2 linked regions of the Tribolium castaneum genome follow. The protein of the gene in region 1 interacts with the protein of each later gene in a pairwise test. Links are inferred from orthologs where the notes say so. Each region holds a gene or a part of one and is shown on either strand. Other genes may lie near its edges. The genes, in order: hth and uncharacterized protein LOC659152.

Region 1 (3,832 bases):
ATCGTCACAATGCACCGGTCGGGTTACACATCGGAGTCCGTCTCCCGGGGGCCCGTCTCAGATTCTCCGTATTAAAACACCGACATGTAAAAATATGGAAATTGCGCGCGGCAGAATGCGGTCCGATCAACCGGATGGCCATCGCGCATCGCTTTGCATTCGCAGCCGCATTTAAATTGCTAAAAGGGGACACTATCGAGCGGTCCATCTCTCTCGCAGCGTTGCGATATTATAATCTTGTTGCAAGGTAAATGCACATAACCGGTTACCCCAGACAGACGACGTCTTTGCCGGCCATCTTGAAACGCGGACGAATGCAAACGAGCGAGCGAGGTGGGTCCCCGAGGCAACCCCTGTATACAACCCATATCTAATCTATGTACAGCGGATCCTAATTTACGGCCTTATTCCATGTCATTAAGAGCATACGGGACGGACACGTTTTTAGGAACTTCGGACCCGACTTATCTCCGCGGACCGATAAGGAAATGTGCCTCTGGACACCTAACTTTGCCGACCAACAAAATCATAACGCTCGCTCTATGCCCATTGGGCAACACGAAAAAACCTGCCCATTATTTAGACCACTATCGTGGCTCTAGAATAAATGTACCACCAACGAGCACGTGTAGATGGCACTGAGCATTCAAATCACAACATTATGTTCGTTCCATTTGAGTTAAGTGCTGTCCGAATATGCAAAAGCAAACATAATCCCATTATTATTATTGTATTTGTGCATACAGCACTGCACCCTAAACGAAACCGGTCGCTGTAGGGAGAAAAATATCGCCCATTGTGTTTCTGTTATGCAGTTTACTCTCTTTTTTAAACACCATCGTGGTACCAAAAAAGGAAAATGTAACAACAACAACAAAATAAAATCTTTCTCTGCCCTTATTCACTCTGCCCGAATATCCCATTGGGATTTGCGATATACCTGTAGTGAAAACACTTGGTCGCTGGAGTGTGTAAAAGTAGGATGGGTCTGTTTGGACCATTAATCTTGCGTTTATTAACAAACGCATTCAGAATTAGTAGTGTGTGTTCGTTCTTTCGGAACGGTTTTTGGAAAAGAGGCAAAGCACGCTCGAAGGCCGCTCGTCTCGCTATGCAAATCAGTTTCATCTCGCTTTCATACGATGTGCCCGGCCGTTATTCTTGACCGGCTTTTTTGCGATATGTAAATCGACGTCGAGCCCGAGCTGATTGTTCTTTGTGTTGCAGGTCCATGAGTTGTGTGATAATTTCTGCCATCGGTATATCAGTTGTCTGAAAGGCAAAATGCCCATCGACTTGGTGATAGACGAGAGGGACGGAGGCAAGCCGCCCGAATTGACGGGATCGACGAATGGAGATGGTGGTGCTAGGAGTAACGCGGATTCGACATCACACACGGACGGTGCGAGTACGCCGGATGTCGTAAGTACCCATTTTTCCCAATCAAAACCATTCGCGAAGAGGTCGAAGACGTTCGTCCATTTGATCGACGTCGGGCGCGACGGCAGGGGACCGCCATTGAGTGTATTAGCTCATTTTCGTGATGCTGTTTGCGAAAGCAGGGGGAGCTCAAAGCAGGGAGTTTTGCTGGTAATTGGTGTCAATTTAGACTGACGCATCGTCGATGCGAACGAGGGATCGAGTTACATGTCCCCCCCGCATTGTGGTCTACAATCGGCTTCTTTTCGACTTGAATAAATCGCTACAGTGCTGTTCGATTCCTTTTGGACTACCTGTGACCGGAGCGAACCGCGGGGAGTATCAGACCGACAAAATAAAATCATCGTGAACAACACGGATGAGAAATGTGGCGTCTCGGTGTCGCTCCACCAGATGCTTATCGACTTTGGAAATTTCAGAGTTGTCGAATTTCGGCGCTGAGAACTCCCTGACAGCAACTATCCGAATTGCGTCTCCACTTCGGCTATTCTCAGATTGTTCAGAGGCGGGGCGACCGAACAATATCTTTTTGTTTCTCCGTTATGCGATGCATCGTGTCTTGTTGTATCATGTCGGACAATTAAGATGTGAGATTTGATTTCAAGGAAGCGATACGTCGAAGACGGGTTAGATTGTTTTGTTCGAGGTGTGACGAGGCAAAAGAGTGTCGCGCCGCTGAGGGTGTAAAAATAGCGAATGTACGGTATGCGGCTGGTGAGTGAAAGCCAGGTTGTGGTTTGGAAGGCGCTCAAAATGAGAATACTTCATAGCACGGATGGCACCGTGCTGCCAATAACGTCTCACGAGCACGGTTGTCGTCTGAGCGGGGTATAATTAACGCGGTATTTATAGTGCAAGGGCAACGATCAAGCGTGTATCATCGGTCGAAGAGCACGGCAGTTTTGACGGCATCTGCGAATTCCCGCCACAAGCGTCTCCCGCCGTATCGCCGTTTCCTTTCCTTCCTGATACAATTTGCATCGTCTCGGAATCACTTAGACGGAGGAAGGCGTCCCCGTGCGATGCTCTACGCGCCGCTTTTATTGGGGCATTATCATTTTATTGACTTCAAATAGCTTGTAAAACGCAGAGCTGCGATTCGAGAGCGAGAGCGGGAAGCGATTCCCTCGAAACGGCCTAATTCAGGAGACACTGATGGCTTGTAATCGCCCAAAGAGTTTCCCTTTCGCAAACAGGTGGATTTGTTCAATTTATTATGCGGCCGCAACCTGATACAGCTGCCGTTCCCGTCAAATACATACATCTAGGCGGAATTTTTCTCGGTCGATCAATGCTGCTGGGGGTGTTTTCGCGGCAAATGGCCACGACCCGACTGAGTTATGTGTTGCCGAGCCAGCAGAAGGAAGAGGCCGAGACGGCGGCGGGTCCATCTATCAATCCCGGTCCTTGGCAGGATTGTTTCCTGCTGCATCAAACTAATGGTCCCAGTGGCAAAAGTAAACTTCGCACGAGAAACAGTTTAATGGAATCCAGGGCCGCGGGGACCATTAAAATGAAATAGTGCGCGCGGACCGAACGGACGCCGTTCTTCTCTTCCCACCCGCCGGAATCAATCTCTCCTAAGCAGAACGGATGGTTATTGTTTGCTCCATCGAGTAACGGCCCATTAGCCCGCCGACTTCGCCCTTAATGGACCGTGATGACGGACCACTGATATTGCGATCGAATATTATGCAGGTGTCGCCAAATACCTGCTCGGTTCAGGCAAGGAGACATATATCAAGATGCAAGCGCCGCGACGCTGTCGCGAGAACGCCGGCTTGCCGCCAATAAATCACCACGACAAATTTAATTATCCTGCAGTCTGCGATAAGACCAGCCGGGTAGAGACTTGTCCTACACAGAGGAAACAGTCGTAACCCGATACGTCCTATTGAAATCAAGGTACACACACGAGATCAGCGAGCCGGCGGCTGTGTTACACCCTTCGGGAAGGGAGTGCGTGCGTGTGCGTGCGTTGGTTCCTGTCAAGGAGAGATGTCTTCAGCAGGCGAGCTTTGGCCGGCCACCGCACGTTGTTTTTGTTTGAACGTCACTGCCAGATGTTCGCAATTTGGTGGTGGTTATTATTTGTTTGTACTCCCCCATTGCATCGCGCACTCATTCAACTTACTTCTGCACGCTCCTCCAAAAGCCAACGTTAAATAACCGATGTTGTGGCTTGACGACAATCCCTTTCATGACCAACAAAAGGGTTTTTACCCTTCACGAGTCTTAATCAAAGTTAAAACACCGTTTTTATTTTTGCTTTATATTTAATTGCGCATCAAATTGGAACGCATAACGAGCGCATCACCGAAATTGATTTTCCTGTCGACAAAGAATAATTTCTGGCAAGAACTAGCACCAGGAATTTCGCAATTTCGCTCGG
Region 2 (2,909 bases), on another chromosome or scaffold:
CACTCTTTTATTGTACGCCCATTATTTAAAATAAAGAGAATAGTAAATGCCAAGCGTGTTTGCAAAAGTTTTGGTGCATTTACAAAAAATATGGAAAAAAATTACCTTCAAAAACCAACCTGAACAAACCGTGAGATATATTTGATTTTTACAACATATGACACTAATTGAACAAACATTTATTCCACTATTTCTGTCACACAATAAACGCAATATTTGTGTGCGTGTGCTCACCTTTAACCTCCAGTCAAGCCCCCAGTAATCATTTTTCTAAATTCTTCTTTAAATATCTTATCGCTACGTATTCAATTAGAGACATAAAAATTTTAATTACAATTATTTACAACACAATAAATTCACTTCATTCGAGTATTTCGTGTAATGCCAAGAAAATAATACAGTAATTTTGCATAAATCATTTGCAAACTGGTGTAATAAAATTTTCAGAATGCTCATCTTCCATTTATTCTAAGAAACAACACGTTTTCTGAACTTCTATTTTCCGATTCGACGACTCGTGTGCACTTTATTATTTTCGTGAAATGCCAATAAATTACATCAAACAATAATAAAGACGAAGCTGCATTTAGATATCGCGCTATTATTACCGAAGCAACAAAATTCTAAGTGTAACATTTGTTATTTACACTACACCGAGTGCAGAAACATAAATTTCTGTGCAGATGAGAGCATCACGACATCGAGTTCAATCGTGACCCGATTATATAAGCGCATCCCGATCTTATCGTTACTTAAACGCAATAATAGTCACGTATTTTTCGCGCAAACAGGGCCGAATTGACTATTCCTGCTGGGCGTGATCGCCCGGATTCTGGGCCACCGGATTACCTTCCTGTTTGCTGACCCTCAACCAGGTCAATAGACTGTTCACCGGAACCTGCTGATGCGAGTTCGCATATTTCTTGCGTAAACACAGCGAGAAATTGTTATTTTTCGTCAGAACAACTGACATTTCAACAAGGTTCATGCAACAAGAGTGTGACGCTATGCTCGCTCCAAGCCTGAAGAGTTGCAAATGCCCTCAAACTTTAGGAAGTCCGCGCCAGGAGTGATCTAATTAGCACATATTTCACATGCGGTCGCGTGAAATTAATCAATTCTGGCGCAATCATTTCAGTGACGAAAGTTTGGAAAATGAGGCCGAAGACTTTGGGACTTTGGAAAAATTTTGATTAGCCCAAGCCATTTTTTTGATGTCATTAAGATTAAAACGTGCATGATTTGCATGCAAATGGTGGATGAGTGGGTTTAACTGATCGTTTCAAAGTTTGGGCTTTGACTTCATCTCTCCGAATCTCGGAATCGCGCGGTGGCATCTAAATATGAACAAAGCTCAGTTCTTCACAGGGAGTGTTCCAGGGTCGCACTTACCAAGGTTGTATGGCAGTATAAAACCTAACAGAGCGCCGTGAGAGGGCAGTAGTCGTAGTTTGCCTCTTTGGTAGACCATCAGTTCCACTATCATGAACAGAATAGTGAGTATCAAAAATTTGGGTGGACCCTAAGTGTTTTTCCAAAATTTTAGTTCGTCTTTGCTGCTTTTGTGGGCGCTGTTTTCGGACAGGGCTACCATGGGGACCCCCAAACTGCGGCTATCCTGAACGAACAGAGGTACCTGAGTGGTGATGGTAAATTCGGGGCCCAGTACTCCCAAGAGGATGGGGTGCAGTTCAAGGAGGAGAGTGACGCTGATGGCACCCGTCGGGGGACCTACTCCTACGTGGACCCCAACGGCCAAAGACACACCGTGAGCTACACTGCTGGCAAGCACGGCTTCCAAGCCACTGGGGATGGCATCCCCCAACCCTTACCGACGACCTTACCCGTGGCCCCCCAGCCCCAGTACACCCCCCTTCCCCAGTACAACCCCCCGGAGTACCGCGACCAGTACCAGCCCCAGTACAGGCCGCAGCCCCAGTACCAGCCCCAGCCCCAGTACCAACCCCAACCCCAGTACAACCCCCAGCAGTACCAAGCCCAGCCACAATACAGGCCCCAGCCCGTCTACACGACGACTCCAGCCCCTCACAGATTTTACCCTCCTGGAAAACTGTCGCTTAATAGGTCGCCAGATGGCTTCAGTTATAGTTTCCAGAAGGCTTAAGTCGTAGTTAGGGATCATTGTCGCGTAGCTTAGGTTCACAAGTGTCCATTAATGTATTATATTCATAATAAAATTTTTATTTAAATGTTGAATATTGTTTGCTTGGCAACGAGACAAAGAAATGAAAGTGCAGTAAAGTAGCCTTGAAGGTACCTGCTCTTGTTAAAGTTGGATTTGCATCATAAGGTTAAATATATGGGCTGGTTCCGGATTTACGAGAGTCTAGACGGAAATGCCGAAAATGAACACTTAATTATTTCTCAAGCAAAATTATGCCGGATCTTGCGACAATAATTTCGTCCCAGATTGGGAAATTAAAAAATTGCACACTGCTAATAGTGTTTGGTATTTATTTCCGTTTTTTTCCCCAACATTCTCTTGCCCACCTTATCTAATCAATCTAAATATAATACAGTCACTAAAGGTTAAAAGGATTTTTATTCAAAATACTGAGAATGTAACCTTTAAAAATCGAAATGATCTTGAACCTGAAATAAGAGTACGGCAGTAAGGTGTGGTTCCTCTTAAAATACAGTTTTAAGAACAAGTTTATTTCAATGTGAAATGACATACGTGGTGTTTTGCCATTGCCAAAACAGTAATGTGTTTGATACGAGAATTACCTTTTTTGTTTAAATTAATTAGCCATTTTGAGAAATTTCGTATACAAATCTTATTTAAAAAAAGATGGAGAATCATCCGCACACAGAGTCGATTTAAAAACCACTTTATTTTCAAGGGCTAAAAGTATTTTATTTTATTTTTAACACTTGTTTTTGATGGA

Evidence for each region.
Region 2: the proteins of hth (region 1) and uncharacterized protein LOC659152 interact in a two-hybrid assay, tested with the Drosophila melanogaster proteins (2 studies listed by BioGRID). The link is inferred for Tribolium castaneum from reciprocal best matches to the Drosophila melanogaster genes hth and Cpr100A.

Annotation. Positions count from the first base shown.
Region 1 is NC_087396.1:11,400,100-11,403,931, reverse strand, and holds part of hth (homothorax), read left to right. Parts: intron 1-1,227; coding exon 1,228-1,422; intron 1,423-3,832. UniProt on the Drosophila melanogaster protein: All isoforms are required for patterning of the embryonic cuticle. Acts with exd to delimit the eye field and prevent inappropriate eye development.
Region 2 is NC_087397.1:3,976,482-3,979,390, forward strand, and holds uncharacterized protein LOC659152, read left to right. Parts: upstream 1-1,347; 5' UTR 1,348-1,484; coding exon 1,485-1,496; intron 1,497-1,546; coding exon 1,547-2,125; 3' UTR 2,126-2,217; downstream 2,218-2,909.